Linked DNA regions of Oreochromis niloticus. The protein of the gene in region 2 interacts with the protein of the main gene of each other region in a pairwise test. Links are inferred from orthologs where the notes say so. Each region holds a gene or a part of one and is shown on either strand. Other genes may lie near its edges.

What was found.
Region 1: the proteins of sergef (region 2) and dph3 interact in binary tests that used the Homo sapiens proteins (3 or more experiments, as listed by UniProt). The link is inferred for Oreochromis niloticus from reciprocal best matches to the Homo sapiens genes SERGEF and DPH3.

What each region holds. Positions count from the first base shown.
Region 1 is NC_031986.2:28,440,866-28,452,439, forward strand, and holds dph3 (diphthamide biosynthesis protein 3), read left to right. Parts: upstream 1-6,213; 5' UTR 6,214-6,325; coding exon 6,326-6,433; intron 6,434-9,744; coding exon 9,745-9,819; intron 9,820-10,329; coding exon 10,330-10,398; 3' UTR 10,399-11,001; downstream 11,002-11,574. Other genes in the region: adhesion G-protein coupled receptor G7-like, read left to right, coding at 1,481-1,824, 1,942-2,023, 2,295-2,583, 3,669-3,788.
Region 2 is NC_031972.2:50,491,719-50,502,955, reverse strand, and holds the start of sergef (secretion-regulating guanine nucleotide exchange factor), read left to right. Parts: upstream 1-5,684; 5' UTR 5,685-5,798; coding exon 5,799-5,806; intron 5,807-5,986; coding exon 5,987-6,080; intron 6,081-6,356; coding exon 6,357-6,495; intron 6,496-6,833; coding exon 6,834-6,986; intron 6,987-7,531; coding exon 7,532-7,626; intron 7,627-7,793; coding exon 7,794-7,854; intron 7,855-8,296; coding exon 8,297-8,410; intron 8,411-8,502; coding exon 8,503-8,565; intron 8,566-8,807; coding exon 8,808-8,966; intron 8,967-9,054; coding exon 9,055-9,221; intron 9,222-11,237. Other genes in the region: tph1a (tryptophan 5-hydroxylase 1a), read left to right, coding at 1,241-1,375, 1,475-1,658, 1,745-1,845, 1,939-2,006, 2,087-2,283, 2,381-2,516, 2,601-2,727, 2,838-2,933 and 2 more. UniProt on the Homo sapiens protein: Probable guanine nucleotide exchange factor (GEF), which may be involved in the secretion process.

The DNA.
Region 1 (11,574 bases), on a different chromosome or scaffold from region 2:
TATCATGAGTAATAATTTAAAAAATCTATTCACATAAAACACACACACGCACACAGTGACATTTTAGACCTTCTTCAGAATACTGTATATACTGTGGGCATCATGGTGCTGATCCAGAATCCTTGCCTTAATATTTATTACTAGAGCTACAATAATAAAGCAATGAGGGGGAAAAAAAGGAATAAATATGAAATAATGTATTTATGATGATTCCATTTGTTTCAAAAGCCCTGTAACTTACTCTGCCTCTCTTCCTCCTTCCATCTCCTCATCTAAGCTATCACTGTCCACTTGCTGTCTATCTGAGAACAAGACACAATTTGCTATCGAATTAATCTATTATTTAATTGTCCACACTTAAAAACTCTTGCACCTAATCCATAATAAAGTAATGACGGAAAATGTTGTAGAAACATCCTTACGAGGCATGTCTGGTCTGTGTTATATCATGTGTAATAATTTTTAAAAATCTATATACATAAAATTAAAAAAAAAATCCTCAACAAAAGGGCACTTTGGGCACCCATCAGGAAAGGGGCGGGTGCTCAAGCCCTTCTGCCCCCGCCTCTGCACGTGCCTGCAGCAGAGTGAAGAGAGTCTTATAAAGCCAATTTTTAGATCACTGCTGGGTCCAAACAAAGCACCTGAAGGACTCTCAGAACATGAGAAGCAAAATTCTCTGGTCTGATGAAACAAACATTAAACTCTTTGGCCTGAATCTGTAAATGTGGGAGTGTTATTGCCTCATCTAGAGCCCAGACTTGAACTCTATCAAATGTCTCTGAAAAGGGCTGCCCACTGACAGGGCTCATTCAACCTGAGTTTAAAGGAATTTTAAAGAAGAGTGTCAGAAAATTCCCTAATCCCATGTGCAAAGTTTGTGACATCATAATTAAACAAACTCAAGGCTGTAATTGCTGCCAAATGTGCTTCAAGTAAGTACTAATTAAAGAGTGTTATGGTATTGAGAATATTTCAGATTTTTTTTTATTAATGAACTTAAAAAATGTTGTTTTCAGTTTGTCATTAATAGAGAACTGAGTGTAGATTAATGAGAAAAAATATATAATTAAAAAAAACTGTATTATCAGAATGCAACATTAATATCAAAGTGAAGCCAGTTTAAATACTTTCTGAACATGGTTTCAAAACTACTTATGTGGTAGAAACAGCAGTGTCTAAAGAGTGCAGGAGAAGTGTCATTGCCATAAATACAGGTGCTCCACATAGACCCATTCTTGGATCTCTTAAATTCACCTCATACACAAAAATGAAAACTGTTTGATTTGTAAAATAAACACAGGAATCAAATTTTGCAACATTGAAATGTTGTTTTCAGCCTTCTAATTATGTATTTGTGTATTTTTGTATTTATTTATTTTTAATCTCATTTTTAAAATTTAATTGACAAGTATTTCTTTTACTGTTTTCCTTTAGGACTTCATGTTATGATGTGTAACTTTTTCATTTTCATCTGTAGTTTTCAGAAAGAAGAGCAGACCAACCTGACATCAGTGCAATCTCGGCTGTGCATCTACTTCAGCCTGCTGGCCTTCATCATCACCTTTGTCTCTGGAGTCCAAAACTCCAGCAGACAAATTGACATTGAGGTGCAGACTGACGATCGGACCAACAACCTCTTGGACTCGGACGAACACGTAGAACCAGACCGTGGTTCGTGTACGGCTGTAGCAGCTCTGCTGCACTTCCTCCTGATGACCACCTTCATGTGGAACAGCGTGAACGGTACTCAGATCCTGATTCAGAAAATGCGCCGCAGTCTACCACCTCTCTGGACTCTGCTGAGCATGGCTCTGGGATGGGGTAAGACATTCAGAAAAATCAGTTCACGCATCTTAAACTGATTTGGACTTAAATCTGACAAGCTGTTTATTCTTGAAAACCCTTCAATCTCTCTCAATTAATGAAATATTATGTTAGGAGTGCCAGCCTTGATCGTGGCCATCACACTGGGGGTGACCTACAGGGTGAACAATCCTCTGGGATACAGACAGGAGGAATTGTGGGTAATCACACAAACCACATTTAGCTACTTTAGACTGACCTGTACTTCACAATGAACAAAAGTCCCATTTTTACCAATATTACAGTGTTGTTGTTGTATGACGCTACTCACAGAGATTCAATTTGATACAATCATTCTCCTGTACAACTTGTTTAATTAATTTTTTTATCTTTACAAACTTTACAATGGTTCTTCTTCGTTTTTACCAAAGGTTAGACAAAGTTATTTATTCATATTATTTGTATAATTCTTTTTCATGTTACTGAAGTTGCTGGCTGGCAGCGCTGGATAAGAACAAACACTTCAGCTTTGAGAAACCTTTGTTTTGGGGTTTCCTCCTTCCAGTCGGCCTGATCTTGATCTACAACATCGTCCTGCTGGTTTATGTGTCCATTAAAGCAACCAGGAAGTCCTGCTTCAGGAAGAGTTTCCTTGAATGCTTCACTCTGGCTGTGTTACTGGGTGTGTCCTGGGTTTTTGGGTATCTGGTCCTTGTCACTTCAGGAACAATGAACCTGGTCTTCAGCATTTTGTTCTGCCTCTGCACAACCACACAGGTAAGACTCTACCTTCTGAGTTTAAAACTTCAACTCAGAGTTTTTGGTTAAATCTCACTGAATCTCTAATTTCATGTACAAAGTAGAAATATAACCTACAAACCAATGTGAGATGGCTAAGAGATGGATGGAGGGTTATGATATGTGAGACACTTTGATAAACATCTCTTTAAATGAATACTTATCAAATATTAATGATAATTGACAGGGCAACTTTACATAAAAAAAACCAAACAAAAAATAATTATTTTTGATATGACACACACACACACACACACACACACACACACACACACCACAAACGATTATTTTGATAGTCAACTAGTCACCGATTATTTTTGCGATTAGTCGACTAATCAGATAATGCATAATAAGAGCAGATGATAGTTTATTAAATTTTTAATGAAATTTCCAGATTGTCTCGGTGGAGTTTAATAAACTCAGCCGTCTGCTTCTTGCTATCTAAAATATAACAGGACACTGGAGTATATTCTCTACCATAGGGGTGTCCAAATTCATGGGCTGCATCCTCCTGAGGCCGCATTTGTAGGCCGATTACGTCACAGCGACGCGACGAAGGTAGACTCCTCTGAATGCAGCCGACAAATCCCAGATAGCAAGGAGACATTGAACTGATGTTGATTTTTCATCTGATCCATCATTGTCAGGATTGAAATGTCAATGAAAAATCAAACTAAGGAACAAATAAAACACTGAAAAAAGCCAAACAATAACATTTTCAATTTATCTAAGTGGCTTATACATCATGTTTAACCTGAGTAGCAAAAGACCGCGGTGGGTTTGAAAACGATGTGCCGGGAGTTCGATGTTCTTGCCGGCTCTAGTGAGCCTTGAACCCCAGCTAGCTATCGAACTCGTGGGTAACAGATGTCTCCGAAAACGTTGGAGGCACTTTTACAAATATGTGATGTGTTGATAAACCGAGCAGATATTTGAAGTGTATGTATAATATATATATATATGACTACATATAAAATAAAAGAAGCTCCTAACATTAAGGTGAATAAGGAATAAGGAAGCAGACTGAAAGGAATAACTTTTATTTTCCTGCTCTGTGTTTTCAGGGTTTTCATATTTTTATCATCACAGCCACAACACCGACCTTCAGAGCCGCCATGTCCCGATCAGTTCAGTACCTTTCTTCAGCCAGGCCGATTCGCAGAAACACAAGGATGAGGTCATGACAAGCAGCTGACCCATGACCTGGGGATGATTTTAAGAGGGTCTGCATTAAATTATTTTTGATGTGAACATAAACAAAATAACTGCATCAGAGTCAATTGAAAATCACAGTCATGATCACATCAACAATAAACCTCCAGGACAGTCACGTGTTCAGGAACAGACTGCAGGTATGAAGACTGAAGATTTTATGAAGATTTTATTGTCATTTTAAGCATTAGTGTTATTCTGCAAGCTGCTCGTTTTACTGATCTGAAGCGATTAATGTTGGTAAAAGTGTCTACACTGGCCTTGTAACGAACTACAGTGACCCAGGTGGAAAAAGCAGTAACTATTCCTGCTTCCTGATCATTCTGATCTGACATCAGACTCGAGTTCAGCAGATATATATACATATACACACACATGTATAATGGTAAAGGAAAACAAACAAACAAACATAATTTTAATGTCTTTTTTAGGTCTAAATTTGGTCTAATTGGTCTGAACTGGTCTTTTAAGGGAATAAACTGGTTTCAAATGGTCAGTCATTTTTAATTAATGGAATAATTTATTCTTACTAAATGTTGATTATTTAAAAAAAACAACATGTTTTTTTATGGTCTGTGCTCTAATTAAAATTGGGGGGGGGGTTGTTATCTTTTGTTGGCTGCTTTGATTCTATGTCATCTTACAGACTGCAGACAATCCAATGAAAATAATCATATATAAAATATATAATGTAATCCAAGAAAGCTTCTGAAAAAAGCAAAAATACAACTTGCCTTTATGTAAGTGTCAATTTAGCAAGTTTCAATCTGATATTAACGTCTGCTCCAAACATAACGATTCGCTGAGATTAAAAGCCATCTCAAATAAAGGATCACAAAACTCCCATCACAGGCCTTCGGGGTAGCTTTTACCACCATGTTGTAGCAAAACAACACATCCTGTCACATGAAGACTGAGACAGAGGAAACTAAACTACCACCGATAATAAAAATACCATGAAGACCAAGACCATGAAACCAGAAACACAGGATGAAAAAACTGAAAGTCATCACTACAAGAACCAAGAACAGCAATCACAGAGTCATCATCACAAGAGCTAAACAAAACAAATCAAAACAAGAATCCAACAATTCAATAAACACAGAAATCAGAAGATTACAAAAATAAAAACAAGAAATCACAGAAAAATCATTTCAACCAAACCTGAAGATTAAATTAATGTCAGTCTGAGGTTTCAGTCTTTTAAACTTTATAAACAGGTGAAGAAAAAATACTGAATATCTTCAACTTTCATACCTGTAATATCAGCTCTATGTTCAAACTTCTGCTGCCACATCTCTACTGAGCATGTGCAGAGAAAGTTTCAGCACTCAGCTTGTTTCTGCTTGGAGGAAGTGAGAGCTTCCTGTGGACCGACAGGCTGTGGGCTGGGCCTTCGTTGTAGTCAGAGGTGATTCTGAGTCTGTTTGAGGCCTTTGGGGGAAAATGTCATTTTAATAACTTTTCACTGATCCAAACATATAAAATATCTTCCTTTGTATTTAATTTTGCAGCAGTTCGGAGATTTCAGTGATGATATGAGAGGTTTAATTTTTATTTGTTGGCTTTTATTTTCATTTTTTAATAAAGAAATCTTTATTAAAATTATTTTTGTCGACAGTGTTTCTACCTCGAGCCGTGTCACCAGAAAGTATGAAAACATTTTCATGAAATCATCTTCAGGTCATTTCAATCCATCATCACTGTCACGCTGCTTAGTGATCTGTTGATTTTCAGGTTGTGTGTTTGTTTTCCTCCTGCTCTGCTCCGTGTACGTTTTTTGTTGTTTGTTGCGAATTACCATCAATGAAAACTGAGTTTGGACCCGAATCCTGCCTGCCACACAGCCTACCCTCGACAATCTCAGCCTTGGTCTTAAATCACACTGAAATCATGTCAGCAGAGTTTCTGTTGGGCTCAAATTTAAACATTTTTGAATGGTGAGCCTCACCAGCACACACAACAACAAACGCCACTGAAAAACAGTCTAAAGGCTTCCGGAGTTTGCCCTTTAAAACTGATCCTCAACATCATCTAAATGTCTTCTTCTTATTATTATTCTTATTCTTATTATTATCAAATGTCTGGTTGACTTGTTGTATCTATTAATCCTTTACATATGTATTTTTTTAGTATTTATTATGAATATAAAGGTACAATGGTTGAAATTATATTAGCTGGGTTCTCTGATAAATTGGCTCCTTGTAGTGGACATGAGTGGGAACTACAAGCTACAGTCGTAGTTAAAAAAGGGCAAAAACACAATAAAAAAATTTTGTAGCTCTTTAAAACTCAATATTTTCACTATAACTTATTCTATTGTTCTTTTACTGCTCTTATTTTTCACTTTTCCTTATTTTACATTGACCGCGTTTGTGTTATTGTTTTGAGAGTTGCGTCACAGCGCTGAGTCAGAGGTTGTGTACGTCATCACACCGCGCTGCAGGCACGCTTTGCCGGTGCGGATCTGGCGCTGTTCTGTGTGGACTTTGCGTGTGTTTAGGGGAAAATGTCGGTGTTTCACGACGAAGTGGAGATCGAGGACTTTGAATACGACGAGGATACGGAGACGTATTACTTCCCGTGTCCCTGCGGAGATCGCTTCGCCATCACCAAAGTAAGTTCAGCTCACGGCTAACAGCTACAAACCAAACTTCAGTTTGAAATCTCCCGTTTTTACATGTTCATACAGTGGGTGATTTACACGGAGGACATAACAGAGTTCCCCACTCCCTTCATTGATATAGTCTTGTTCTGGTTTCGGCAGGGATTTTTTGATGGCAGGTTGATATATGTCCGTTTAAAAAAAAAAAAGTATTTCAACCTTCCTTTCGGAGTTGCCGCAGAGGTGGGACGTAAAATCTCTCATTATTTGACTGAAGTTTGGTTTGGTGTTAAGCTAAGATAAACTTTTATTAGTCCCACACGTGGGAAATTTGTTTGGTCACGACAAAAAAGTGGACAGTACAAAGTTAAGAGCAGCAAAAATAAAAAAAAAAAACACAAGAATAGAAAATAATAAACCAGCACCATACTTTATTCTCAGCAGTGAAACTCGACATCAGTGAACGGAACCAAACTCCATTTAAAAGTCTTCAAATTTAAGAGAGTAAAAACGTTTAAACAAATCAAAGCCTACTGAGTAATTATCAGTCATTTCTTGTGACATCATGAAACTTTATTTTACATGGTTTAAGGTAGAAAAGACGATATTTTAAGTAGTTTTTTTTTCTGAAATAGTAGAAACTTGTAGCTGAAGTGAACTTTAGCTCTCTTAAATTCAGGAACAAGATGACAGTTCACCATATCAAGACTTCCTTCATGTTAGCAGGCTGAAGAAATCCTAAAACTGCAGTGAGTTGCAGCTTATTTGTGGGTCTCTGCCTTCAGTGACTAAGAGTTGGCTCTTCTGTGCTGAAATCTGACATTTGAAGGATATCTAATTTCTTTGCAGGTAGAATACACGGATGTACAGGAGGGAAATTTAGACTTTTTCTAATGGAGTTTGGGTGTTTTTAGTGGTATGTCGTATACTGATGGAGATGATCTCTGTTTCTTTTTCTTTTCTTTTTGAAACAATAAAACAAAGAAACAGTTTGGAAGAAATGCACGCATGGATGCATCTGGCATACCTGAACACTCTAAAACTGAAACAGATACTCAGAATAAGCAAGAAGAAACTCAGACTTTATCAGTTTTAATAGTGTTTGCCTGCTCAGCACCATCCAAAGATTCATCCAGGAAAGTCCGACTTCATGACGAGTTCTTTATTTGTAATTCACGAAGCATCCCAAACTTGCGACTGCAGTCAGTGTCTTGCAGTTTTTACACTGTCCCTACACTTTGTCTGTCTGAACTCTGTTCCTCAGACTTGGTGGCTTTGCTGCAGTGCTCTGAGGGGAGAGTTTATTCTTACAGGCAGCATTTGTGTCGGGTGGCCTGTGGTACTTTTAATCCTGCAATTGTTTGATCAGGTAATGCGTTTTCTCCAAAGGGTGGCTGGCCTTTCCCTCAGAGATGGGGTGAGAAGGCCAGTCAGTTTGAGGGTGTCAGGTAAAGATGTTACTCCTGCACATTAAAAGGAGGCAGCTGAGGTGTTAAGATCACAACATACTGGGAGAACCCAGAACTACTGGAGGTAGCTGAGAGAGGGCTGCTGCCCCCATGACCCAGCCCCAGATAAGAGACAGAAAACGAATGGCAACATGTCGTAGATGGAGAAGAGTGACCGTACAATCTTGATGATTTCTTTTATGTGACAGGTGCACAGATTTCAGATCAGCCTGGCTACAGTGCTGAAGAGAAACCTGGGGTTGTTCTTATTTTCTTCAATCAGTGATGAGTAGTAAGCTGTTTAGCTTTATAGAGGACTTTCTTATAAAGCAACAAACTATTTCTCCAGGCTAAATGATGATCTTTTAAAATTGTGACACGCCATTTCCTCTCCAGCTTATGAGTTATCTGCTTTAGGCTACGTGTTTGAGAATTATACCACAGAGTCAGGTACTTCGGGTTTGAGACCTTAGTTTTCACAGGAGCTACAGTATCCAGAGTCGTACGTAGTGAGGAGGTAAAATTATTAACAAGACATTTGAGCCCTGTTGGAGTAGCGTTCAGGTAGCTGCTCTGGTCTATGTTGGTACAGGGCATTGAAGATGATAACAGTGGGTGGATTATATTCTTAAACTTAGTTACAGCGCTTTCAGAAAGACATCTACTTTGATAAAGTCTACTCTCCACTGCTGTGTAATCAATTATTGTAAATGTGAATGTTATCAGGAAATGATCAGACAGCAGAGGGTTTTCAGGAAACACTGTTAAATGTTCAGTTTCTATGCCATATGTTAAAACAAGATCTAGAGTGTGATTAAAGTGGTGGGTGGGTTCTTTTACATTTTGAGAGAAGCCAATTGAGTCTAATAACAGATTAAATGCGATGTTGAGGCTGTCATTTTTAGCATCTACATGGATGTTAAAATCACCCACAATAATTATTTTATCTGAGCTGAACACTAAATCAGATAAAAAGTCTGAGAAATCAGAGAGAAACTCTGTGTAAGGCCCAGGTGGACGATATATGATAACAAGTAAGACTGGTTTCTGAGTTTTACAGCTGGGATGGACAATGTTAAGCATCAGGCTTTCAAATGAATTAAAAGTCTGTCTTGGTCTTTCGTTGATTAATAGGCTGGTGTGAAAAATTGCTGCCACACCGCCCCCTCGGCCTGTGCTTCGAGGTTTCTGGTAGTTAGAATGACTCGGGGGTGTTGATTCATTTAAACTAACATACTCATCCTGCTGCAACCATGTTTCTGTAAGGCAGAGTAAATCGATTTGTTGATCAATTATTAAGTCATGTACTAACAGAGACTTGGAGGAGAGCGACCTAATATTTAATAATCCACATTTCACTGTTTTACTCTTTGGTTCAGATGTGGATACTGTATTGTTCTTTCTTTGTGATTTCTTTTTATGTTTAAGGTGTTTGTTGCTGGTTTCTTGTTTGTTTTTCATTTGTTTGGGAGCTGACACAGTCTCTATGGAGATGGGTTTTTGGAGGTAACAGGAGGAGAGAAGCTGCAGAGAGGCGTGTAAGACTGCCACTCTGCTTCCTGGTCCCAACTCTGGATAGTCATATTTTGGGGGGATTAATACATTTGGCCAGAATTCTCAAAATGAGAGCTTCTCCATCCAAAGTGGGATGGATGTCATCTCTCCTAACAAGACCAGGTTTCCTTCAGAAAGTTTCCCAGTTATCTTTGAAGCCCACATTGTTTTTTGGACACCACTCAGATAGCCAGCAATTTAAGGAGAACATGCGGCTAACCATGTCACTCGTGGACTGATTGGGGAAGAGAGGGGAATAATCCACAAAAACATTCAAACCTCGACAGAAACCTGAAGATTTTATTTGTTTTTATTTTGAAGGAGGACCTGGAGAACGGGGAGGAGGTGGCGACATGTCCGAGCTGCTCGCTCATCGTTAAAGTCATCTACGATAAGGTATCTGTGACTTCCTCTTTTCAGTTCATCCATAAAGGCCTCAACGAACAGTTATCTAAAAGGTTTCTTGTAAAGTGACGAAAAGCAGCAAATTCTCACTTTAGAGAAGCTGGAAATCACTTTGTTTTATTTAAAGTACCTTCAGTGTTTATTTGATCTAAAATGTTTCCTGTGATAACACCAGAATATTTCTCATTATTTGATCAGGACAGTTTTATATCGATCAGTTAAAACTTTCAAATAAAAAAAGATGATAGAAAAGAAAAGATGCAATGCAGCATCATAAAAACCTCTGAAAAGTACTTTTACATTACTTTTTTGTGTTGGGGACATTAAACCGTCATGCTTTTATTCTGCAAATCATTGGTGAATTGTTCGTGTAAATTATTGATTTTTTTTTTTTTTTTTTTTTTTTAAAAAAAGTACAACTTTAAATTTAAGACAGATGGATAGTACGGGCCGTCGCTACCTGTCAATGAATGACAGGCTTTTTTTGTGTGTGTGTTTCAGGATCTTTTCCAGGTTGGAGAAATCATTGAAGCTCCGTCACACGCCAAACTGGAGGTCGCTCAATCCTGAACCTTCTCACCTTTGACCTCACAGAGACCCCGGTTTAACCATTTCCCGTTTCCCATCTCGACGCTCTGTTCAAGTGGTGCTGGGAAACGCCAGACTTTCACTGCCTCCTGTATTTCCTCCAGATTTATCTTGAATGAAATCACACTTGATCCAGATGAAATCTTTCAGAAGACGCAAGGTCACGACGTTCATGTGTTTGATGGACTTCCTGCGGATTATGTGGGAGGACGAGCGTCTAGCCGAGGCATTTGCTGTGAACAGATGAAGGTTGCGCTTTAAAAAAAACAAAGCGTTGGTTCCTGCCTCAACCTCGCCGCTCTTAATGCACATTCAGTCTTCCACTTTAAAGCTCAGGAGGACGAAGGAAGCTCCATGTTAGGACTGGCAGGTTTCTTTAGAGCTTTTATTTTGTAGTTTTCAGATATTTTAATATATATATATATATTTATATAAAACCTCCACATACAGAGAGCCCAGGCACCCTCTCTAGGACAAACTGTGTGATGACACAATTACTGAATCAGTAATGTTTCGATCGATCAGCTGGCGTGTACTGATTGGCTCCATGGCGTCTCCGTGTGGTCAATAAAGTTTTTACTTAAACTTTTTGTCTGTTTGTGGATAATATGACCTTTGAACACAGAGTTAAAAAGTCTCTGTTAACACAATAAAAGCTTCACTCTGCAGTCAACATCTCTGAAAACTTTCAGAGAAAAAGCATGTGTGCGTCTTCCATAAAGCCCCGCCCCCCTCCGTCAGGTGAGAGTGATTCAAAGCAACATTCAAATTTTCAAACTCCAGATTTTTTTAATGGTCATGAAAAGTATTCTTGGGTCTTTTCTTATTACATCTGTGATAGAATGGTCTGAGTTTTATTTTTATTGATTTCATCAATTTAATTTGATTTCAGTAAGCTTGGTGATTGTCGGTTACTGGTTAGTAAAGATCCTGATGGAAAGTGTGACTGCATGATCAGAGAGTCAAACATCTTCTCGTCCGGAGACTGAGTTCTTTTCATAGCAGGAAGCTGTTTCAGCATCAGTAGACAGTTTTTACTCTTGACACCCTTTACAATCAAAATGCTTTTAGATAGTTGAATACAATGCACAGTCCAGCAGAGGGCAGCAACACTTCAGCGCTCTCGCTCCCTAACATGAGCAGAGGATCCCTAACAAT
Region 2 (11,237 bases):
CCCCATGCATGCAGATGCAAATGTGATCACACCTGTTTAAAAAAAATTATTTTTTTTTTTATAAGTTTCTCGTTGATACCCCTGGATTAAAAAAAAAAAGATGATATCTTTTTATTTCGTATTTATTTCACAACTATAAAAAGTAAAGTATTTGATGAGGGGAAGCGATGTTCTCCCACTTAACGGCCTAAAAAACGTGCGCGCTATAGTGATTAAGAGCTTCCCTAACGTGTGGCGAGATTTCAGAGTGGAGGGGAGCTAATAATAGGCTTCCCCGCTCTCCAAATGAGATTGCTGTAAGGCGATTCCTTGAGGCAGAGACAAGTTCATCTTCGTTAAACCGAGACGCAAAAAATTGACCTCAGGCAGCGTCCTGATCCAGACTCCATGCACTAATGCTTTCAGGGATACTACCGGCAAGGGCTTACCGAAAACTGGTGTGCCGCGCGGTCTACACCATGTACGAAGGGCGAAGTGTGGTAGGAAATAATTTAACTGAATTTAATTGTTTCACGTGAGGGGCGTGATCCTTTTAATCCCGTCTAAACGTTGGACTTTGGCATTATGTGCTAATTGTTTGATGACAAATTCTAAAGTATTTTGGGGGGGAGCGGGGGTTAAGTTTGTTTGTTTTTTTTGTTTTTTAAAATTTCTTAATAAGCAGTATCAGTATCAGCAGTAAAGGATAAGACTTTGGAGTCAATCAAAACAGATTAGTTATTCTGTACTGTTGGCATCTTAACAGCCTCGCTGCTAAAATCTGAGGCAGGATTAAAATAATTTTCCCCTGGCGTGTGCAGCGCGCACAGGCACGCGTCAACGTGAGAGCGCTATCCGAGGTGCTGAACTGGACAAAGAAGTTGGTCAGCCTTAATCTGAGCCCTGCCTGTGCGCATGCACTGCACTTCCATTACTCATTTTTTACACCAGCGATATCAAGAAAAAGCCAATGATTCCCTTTAGAGTAACAAATATACCTGCCAGTGTATGTTTTAAACACTGACTGACTGTCTGCAGTTCTTTATATTTATAGGATTACTATTGTTGTTATTTAGGATGGTTTTATAGTCTTAAGTAATTAGAAGCTCTGCATCAAGTCTGTGGATAAGGGTATTATGTAGACTTTATTATTATTTTAAAGCCAATTTAAATTGGCTAGCAAAAGTTCATTTGCTCCACTGTTTTTTTTTCTCCCTATTAAACACACCTGAATTTCTCTGTGTTTGTTGATCATTTTCAGATAAACAAGTCAACCTTTACCAAAATTGAAGAAAACAACGAAAAGAAGAATTCATCAGAGAAAGGGAGAGCGACAATCATCTTTTCCTTGAAGAATGAAGTTGGGGGGCTTGTAAAGGCACTCAAACTCTTCCAGGTACATCCCCCAACCCTGCTCCTTTTTACCGAATGACTTGATTGCGACACATTTTTAGCTTTGAAATGAATAAAGAATTCTTTTGTTTTATTCTCGCAGGAAAACCACGTGAACCTTGTACACATTGAGTCCAGGAAATCCAAAAGACGCAACTCTGAGTTTGAAATTTTTGTGGACTGTGACAGCAACCACGAGCAACTGAATGAAATCATCCAGCTGCTTCGGAAGCATGTGAATGTGGTGGATATGGAGCCTCCAGATAACTCCTGTCTACGCGAGGAAGGTGAGAAAGTAGTGAGTGAATACACTCCAGATGCTGAATTAAAGGTACAATATTAGATTTGAACACCTTTTTTCTTCTGTTCTCAGATATGTATGAAGTACCCTGGTTCCCAAAGAAGATTTCAGATTTGGATAAGTGTGCTAACCGAGTCCTGATGTATGGATCTGAACTGGATGCCGACCATCCGGTACATTATCAACATGCTGCTTCACTTCAGAAAACAAAACCAAACTCCCTTAAAATGAAGCATTCTCATATTTCCTACGTTTCTCTTTATCAGGGTTTCAAGGACAATGTCTATCGGAAAAGGCGAAAGTATTTTGCAGATCTTGCCATGGCCTACAAACAGTAAGTTTTGATCTATTTAAATGTCTATTGTATTTTTAAAAAATCATGATTCTTATGGAGTTCTTTCTGTCTTTTTCCAGTGGAGATCCCATTCCTCGTATTGAGTTCACACAGGAGGAAGTGAAGACTTGGGGTGTTGTGTACAGGGAGCTCAACAAGCTGTACCCCACCCACGCCTGCCGGGAATACTTGAAGAACCTGCCACTGCTGTCCAAATACTGTGAATGTCGAGAGGACAACATCCCTCAGCTGGAAGATGTCTCACGCTTCCTCAGGGGTAAATTATCAATTTTGATTAAAATATTCCTTTGATTTAAATCATTTTGTTCACTTTTAACAGTGCAATCACTCATATATTTTCACTATCTTTTCAGAACGTACTGGATTTACCATCAGGCCTGTGGCAGGTTACCTGTCCCCCCGTGACTTTCTTGCTGGTTTGGCATTCCGCGTTTTCCACTGCACCCAGTATGTGCGGCACAGCTCCGACCCCTTGTACACCCCTGAACCGTGAGTACTAACCAAAACTATATCTAAATATGTAATGTAAATGTTAATTCTGGTTTTAATATTTGGTTTTCTTTTATTATTAAGGGACACATGCCACGAGCTGCTGGGCCACGTCCCGCTGCTCGCAGAGCCCAGCTTTGCCCAGTTTTCTCAGGAGATTGGTCTCGCTTCACTTGGAGCCTCCGATGATTCAGTTCAAAAACTGGCCACTGTAAGAGTCACTGCTGCAATCTAATTTTCAAACAATATTTATGAAGATATTTCTTTTTCAAAATCCAACAAGGTCATCCTAATTGCTTGTGTTCGTCTTCTGGGTTGCAGTGCTATTTCTTCACTGTGGAGTTTGGTCTATGCAAACAAGAGGGGAAGCTGCGAGCTTATGGAGCTGGACTCCTGTCATCTATCAGTGAGCTCAAGGTAGACATCCAAACAGGATGGTACAGTGGGCACCTTTACACAAAGAGCTTTAAAAACACAGACAGAATAGTCTTTTTACGTTATAATCTTGATCAAATTCCACCTCAAGACACATAATAAAGAATCTTTATTTGATGAGAAAATATAGATGTACATTTATTAAATGATCAAGTTGTGTTTTCAACATCTCCACTGTGTTTCTCTCTGACAGCATGCGCTCTCTGGTAATGCAAGGATAATGCCTTTTGACCCCAAAATTACATCCAAGCAGGAATGCATCATCACAACGTTTCAAGATGTCTACTTTGTGTCAGACAGCTTTGAGGAGGCCAAAGTCAAAATGAGGTGAGCTTAATTACTCAGCATTTAACTTGTACACTATAATATATAGATAGACCCAGCAAGAATAGCAAGTAGGCTTTTTAAGCTAAACTGCTGATTGCATATTATTTAATATTTTGTTCATTTCAGGGAGTTTGCCAAGACCATCAAGCGTCCCTTCACAGTTCGATACAACCCCTACACCCAGAGTGTGGACGTGCTAAAAGACACTCCCAGCATCAACAGTGTGGTGGAGGAGCTGCGACACGAGCTTGACATCGTCGGTGACGCACTCAGCCGGCTGAACAAACAGCTGGGTGTCTGACTGCGCACAGTTCACATGGAGTTACACCGACAGTCTGTCATCCCCGGCACTGCTGTAGAGACGTTGCTTGTGTGTTGTCCTTTGCCAGTAACATGAATGAGCATCGGTTTTAAGCCAAAATGCTCTGTTGTCTCCACTGCATGGTTTATATAGCTTACACAATTTACAGGTGCACTAGGTATGTTTAGACACTAACTTTAAGATATTTGACAAACCCAAAGAGCTGCTTAATCTGAGGTACTATTTGGCTTCTATGTTGCAAACAGTTTATGTGCTTTGATGGTACTTCAGTTCACTTTTGAAACACTTCCAGCTGTTACAGACACCTCCAATTGTTATTTCTGCTTTTGTATATGATTGTGTGAGTTTTCTTTTCTTTTTTTGTAATTCATTTCATTCTTCTTCTTCATGTTTAATACTCCTCTCTTCAATGAAATGTTTAAAATGTACCTTCTTTGTATTTGTCTTTTGGTGTGTGTGTAATTTTCCTTTTTTGTGTGCTGTTGAGGGAAATTATGAAAGTGACACCTTTAAATAGCTGTTGTTATAAGAATGCTCTTGTGATTGATTATGATCGATTTGGCCCATGTCAGCGATTACTTTACAGTGATGATTTTGAATACCTCCTGTTGAAGTGAATTCAATTGTAGAACTCCAGAAATCAAGACATTATTTTTCTACTGTAAAGAAATATAGACATTAGAACTAGGGTTGTGAATCAAACAAAAAAAATTGAATAAAAAAGTCCTTTGTGTGTTTATAGCATGTCAAACAGTTGTTTAATTGTTGATTTACTACTTTTATTAGTCCTTGTGGATGTAACTTTGTTATTGAATCCTGAGGATGATGCTGCTGTTGATGATAGAGATGCAAGATGATGGCAGCGAAGACTCTGAAAGTGATTATAACAATTATTTTGAGGCTGGAGTTTGCAAAATCTCAATAAAGTGTTGTAGAAAAAAATATGCCTTTGATCTGAGAGCCAAGACACTTATTGCCTAATGAAAAAGTCCAATCGGGAACAGAACTTTCCAAGACAGGTAGCAGAAATATCAAGCCTGACTCTTAAACGCATTTCGTGGACACGTAAATGGCGTCATACAATTTTATTTTCTATTATGTTGTTATTATTATATTTATATTATTTATTTATACTTTGAGGATGTGATGAATGAAGACCGGAAAGGTGCTAGGTCCAGATGATAAACGTGGCGATAACGCACATGCAAGGGTGCCAATAGAGGAACCGCACCAGAGAAATATGTGAGGGTAGTGCAGGACATCTATAAGGACAGCAAGACAGTGGTGAGGTGGGGGTGGGATAACATCAGAGACTAGCCCTTGTTGTTTTCAGTGGTGGTGGACAGACTGACAGAGGTCAGGCAGGAGTCTCTGTAGACAATGATGTTTGCAGACAGCAGTATGATTTGTAGTGAGAATAGAGCAAGTGGAAGAGAGCCTGGAGAGATGGAGGTATGCTCTGGGGAGAAGAGGTCACTAGAAGCAAGACAGAATAGATATGTGTGAACAGTGTTACAGTGAAGATGCCAGGAGGAGGCAGCAAAGGTGGATGAGTTTGAATACCTGAGGTCAGTAATCCAAAGGAACAGACAGAGCAGAAAAGAGTATTTACTGCCCAGCTTAAGAAATTGGTCTGATTTAACACATTAAAACTATAACTTCAAGAAATGATACACATAAGGGTAGCTCATATTGAAAAGGTGAATCAAATTAAAACTTAGGCATAATAGTGCTGCCCAGATTATTCTAAATTTGTCACCTGAAGAATTTGATCATTTAACATTAAAGTCGTTTTTTGTGAAGCTGTAGTCTCTTCTGTAGTGGCGTTACAATCGATACTGAAATATCGATTCCTCCGATACCAGATATTTATAATCTAGAATTGATTCTCATATTAAAATATCAACATTTTAGTAATGTGAGGTAAATTTGTAGTTTATGATTAACAAAAACACATGGGAGCGTAACTGTATTATTGGGATCCTAGGGACTACTTCCACCTGTCGTGGTGATATGCGAAATACGGTGGTATAAATGCATCAGGGCTTATGTGTGTTCACTCTCTCAGTCAGTGACAGTGGGTGATAGTAAGGCGAGTCACGTGTGGAGCTATTTCAGCTCCACAAACAGCCAAGACGTGGTTTGGGAAAATCACAAACTTTGTCAAACACAAACAAGTTAATCATAACGATGAGTTTATGTTGAGGTGAATGTCAATTGTGGAGTCCTTTGGTGCTTCAGGCAGGTTGTAGTATCCTGCTTTAAAAAATCCACCCATTATTTTACCATATATTATGTATCTGTATGTTAGATATTGTTAGATATTACATTTCTAAAAAGTCATAACTTAGTTTGTAACTTTTGCCACTCATATATCCGTTTCAAGCGCCTTCGCGACAGTGTCGCAAAGCATACTTGAGTGTTTAGCCCAGATACTCATGGAAACACACGCACGGTTGGAGTTTTGTTTACATTCTTGGGTAAGTTTGTTATATTGAACGGTACACTGTAAAAGTCACGTATATCTGGTTGTGTAATTCCTTTATTTGAATGCAAGGAACAAAGTGACTCTTCAATTGGAAACGCAGAAGACGTAGCACTTTTGCTAACGTTAGCTTAACTAGCGTCCAAACTTACTGTCTTTACAGGTGAGGCGACAAAAAACAGATGTTAACATCTGGTTCACGCTCACCTGAGCACTGATAGTAGTTGTCGGTCTGTCATATACTTTTATTGAGCTGTGCTGTTTCTGTCAGGGAGCCAACAGTTACGGGCAACTGAGCCAGGGACATGTGGAGGACCAGGCTTCGCCCCGGCTCTCTAACATTGCTGCCCTACAAAACAGGCCAGTCCGGGCTATCAGCGGCGGTGGGGGACATTCCGTAGTTATTACCGGTACGTAGCCTTTCGTCCTATATTAAACACAAACTTCAGCCCACCTGCGAATGATGACGTTTTTAGTCGGTTGTGGTAATGTGAGCAAGACTTTCATAGGTCACGTAGCGCCTCCTTCTGGCCAGTGAAATTAATTGTTTGTTTGTTTTTATGTTGATAATCTGTTTAATGCAAAAAATTATAAATGATCTAACAGCAAACGGTAGAAGCAAACTTCCACTCAGTTCAGTCTCGTCTGTTTAAGTAAATGTCTAGAGTGAGTGTGCAGGTGTAACTGTCCCAAAAATAACACATCTAAGTAAAATCTTTGATTGTTCCCATGTTGCTGTGCTGGACAGAGAGTGGCGAGGTGTTTGTGTGTGGACAGAATAACAGAGGCCAGCTGGGACTTGGCCACAGTGCAGACATCTCAACTCTTCAGCACTGCCCCATCCTGAATCAGAGAGTCACAGACATCGCCTGTGGTTGGGATTTTACTCTTCTTCTCACTGGTGAGCAGTCAGCACCGTTTCCTACCAGGAATTTTTCCTCATTTCTATTTGTACTCTGTTTAAGGGTGATATTGCTAGCCAAAACACAGGTGTTTCTTTTGGGCAGGGATAATAGATCTTTTATGGCAATGTTAGTTTTTATTCTAATATAACATTTTATTATATTTGAATAATACAATAGATGAATTGTATATAAAATAAAATAATATAGCTGTGTTATATTAGAACCTTCATCATATTATATTATATTAGATCTAATTTTCCTGAAAGTGCAGATATATTACACTTAGACCATTATGATACATATGTTTCTAGAAAAAGGGTGAAAAAAACTCACATTTATTGCTATATTGTCAACAAAAAAAACCCTACATATTTAACACAGTCAACCCATGCTTGAGGAATTAAACAGAGCATAGCTGAGAAACAGTAAGAATGGGAATAACAGAGGTCACCTTAACTACCTTCCACTCACCCAAAAGCGGAATTTTTCAGTGTGTCTTAGATAAAGGCATATTTCTTTTCCTGTTATGGCACACTCTCAGACGGTGGGCAACTATTAGCATGTGGTTCCAATGTGTTTGGGCAACTGGGTGTTGGACAGACTGTGACACACTCTGCAGATCTACTGGTTGTTGAGGTGAGAACACAATGGGGGTGCAGTTTTTATAAAGTAAAGGTTTTAATTTTTTTTTAATACGCATTCAATACATCTTGAGTGATCTGCATTAGTATAAATTATCTTTACTTACCTGCCATCTTAATCACTTTCATTAAGGCAGATGTCATTGTGCTGTTTGTTGACAGAGTCTGATGGAGCCAGTAGTTAGTGTAGCAGCAGGACTCCGACACTCACTTGCTGTTACTGGTAAGGTAGCACTGTGAACTGCCCTCATGTTTTTTTAACATCTGGTTACATGATTGGTTTGTTTTGCCTGTCTTTATGTTTCTTTGTCTGTATGTTTCTTAGCTGTATTTATAAAAAAAAATATATATATATAGTATGAACTTGCATGAAAACTTTATCAGAGTTGGGAATTAGAATGGATTACATTTCTGGACTCAGTCCAAATCTGGATCCTGAAAAATGGGATATCTTCCAAAATGCATATCGAATTTAAACTTTGGCTTGATGTTCTAAAGAAAATACCATAAACCAGTCTGCATCCAGATATCTTTCATCTCATAGGACTTAGTGCATGCATGGTGTGAAGGGAATTTTCAGTCTTGGTGGAGGTATGCACTCTGACTGCTCCTGTTTTTCATTTGACAGTGAAGCCGTAAATCCTGTAATTCTGTTTGACTTTCAGGCTCAGGCTGTGTTTATCAGTGGGGAACTGGTCTTTTCAGTTATGCTAAGAGAGCACTCAGTCCACATGCTGTCCCATCTCACTTTAACTCTAAGGTGCCCTGTCTGGTACCAGGTAACGTAAGCTGTACTGAACATAAATAATTATTAATTTATTCTATTATTGGTGATTTGTAGATGTGACAGATATTTATGACCTTGTTGCAGGTCTGGATCAAAGAATATCACACCGGGTAACTGCAGGGTCAGCACACTGTGTGTGCCTTACAGGTAGGACGGTAGTGAGTTGCTTCAATATGTTGTGCAAAAATAAGCTATGTATTTTGCACTGCTCATTCATAGGGACAATTTACACTCATAAGCACTACCACTGTCTTGATCTTCTTTATCATATATCAAGTCTGCCCTCTCTGATGTCCTGTAATTAGTTCACCAGATCATCTCAATTGCTGTTCTGCTTTTCTGCTGCCTGTGCTGAATGAAGAGTAATGCTGTCGCTGTCATGTGTGCAGGAGATGGCGATTTGTTTCTGTGGGGAAGCAACAAGCATGGTCAGCTGACCACCACAGAGTCCTTCCTGTCTTCTCCCACTCTTCTTAAGCGATCTCTGCTGGATGGAGAAAAAGTGATAAATGTGTGGAGCGGCTGGACTCATATTGTTGCTCAGACAGGTACTCGGGTCTGTGATGTTCAGTAGTTTTTACAGGATTTAGAGGACAGTTGCTCAAACTGAAAAAACAATTCCATTATCTGTTTCAGAGAGCGGGAGAGTGTTCACATGGGGAAGGGGAAATTATGGACAGCTGGGCCGCCAAATATCAGCCAGTGAGGACACAGAGCAGCAGCCAGCTGGCCCTGTGGCACAAGGTGGCACCCAGGAGGTTGGACTCCCTGCAGAGGTTGAAAACCTTCGTGGAGCAACACAGGTAGGAGTGTTTAGCACTTCGCCAGATGGCAGAACCTATAGCTGTGTTGCAGTCAGTAACAATTAAATGTTTCCTAGACTTGTGTTTGGATTGTTGGTCTTGAGGATAGTGCTGTGGAAATTAGTTTGAAAATGCCAGTAGACGTCCAGCAGGAGGCAGCAGACAGTTACAGTTAAACAAATTAGCTCTTGATTGTTTAGTATAAGGCGAAGCATGTTTCCCCTGAACAGAAGGTTCTTAATGATTTGCATAATTATCCCTTATGTACAAAGCATACTCACACTGTCATTATAGTTCAGCAGGGGAAAAAAACGACTTGTATTTATCAGTGAAGGCAGTTTTCTCTTCTCCCGTAAGGACAGTTACATGTGAATGGGATTGTAGCAGTTAACCTGTAGTCTCAATGGTGACACTATGGTCATTGCCAATAAAGCGGATGTCAGGGACAAACAAGGACAAGCGCTCCTTTCATCTTTCCACTGCGCGCAGATCATTGCAACAACACATAAGGTGTCAAAGCTTTGTCACCTTGCGTTTTGAGCATGAAGTAAGATGAATTGGCCGAGTGGGATATGAATCACTCAGGCCACCCTACTCTGTTAAAGCACTGTACATATACACTGACTGGCCACTTTTTAGGTACATCTACCAACAGCCAATCACATGACACCAACTCAGTGCATTTAGGTATGTAGACGTGGTCAGGACGATGTGCTAAGGTTCAAACTGAACATCCGAATGTGAAAGAAAGGTGATTTAAGTGACTTTGAATGTGACATGGCTGTTAGTGCCAGGAGGGAGCCATGTGAGCATTACTGATGGACAAATTTCAACCAGTCAGTGGTTCATGATCAGTGGGTCAGTTTCTGTTAATCACTTGTTTTCTTTGTCAAATACAGTGCTACATGCAGTACACTCATTTATTGGTTAAAGTGCAAACATACATGGAAATACAGTAAATAAGGAAAAAACTGGGTTTGGACCTTTTTAACGAAGCTTAAAGTTGATAGTTGTTATGGCTGCCTTTATTCTTTATCACTGCCTGAGCTCTCTTAGGGAAGCTTTGTTGTAATTTCTGTAAGTAGTCTTCAGGAACAGTTCTCCAGGACCTTTGAAGGACCTTCAGTCTACCTGTCATTCTGTTCTGTTCCCACACTGCTTCAATAATGTTGAGGTCTGGGCAGAGGGGAGGCCAATCCATGACTGATAGTGTCCCTGTACAGGAGCTGAGTTAATCACATGCCCATCTCTTGCGTGTTTTTCTATCCATGTATGCTTTTACTGTTTTCAGGATTGTTGTCATTGTGAAAAATAAAGCTGTTGCTAATTAGATGCGTTCCAGATAGTACTGGATGACAGATCAAAATTTGACAGTACAAGAACCACTGGCTAATGTGTGCACCCAAGCCAAGACACAACCTCCACTGTTTTTTTACAGATGGCTGCAAACACTCACTGTGTACCTCTATCCTGACCTCCTCCATGCAAACTGACAGTGATTTGAACTTTGAAAGACCTTCAAAAAACTTGGAGAACTATTGCTTGTGACTGCTTTATAACAGATTGCAAGAAAGTCTGCCTCTTTGGAAGCAAAATATAAAGAAATGAGGGGTGGCTCAAGACAGTACTGTAAATGCATTTAACAGCCATTCAGTGGACTGTGTCTCATGTCCAGGATTCAATTAGCATTTAAGCATGTCCACTCAATTTCTGTCATACTTGTGAAGGGGGAAGCAGGAGAAAAGGCCATTAAAATCTAAAAGGTTTTGGTCAGCAAAGGGCAAGACTGTATAAGCATCCTCAAATGGCTGCATTAACTCCTCCAGCAAGCCCAGCAGTGGCTTTTGAGAGTTATGAATCAGTTGGGTCTCTGCTATAGTTTCAATTTACATTATGCGCTAAAGGGGATTCGTATGCTGGAGTACCAAAAGTATGTAAAGATGTGAAAAAGATCATTATTTAATTATCAAAAAAATATTTTTTAATTAAAAAAGATTTTTAATTAAATCTGAGTGG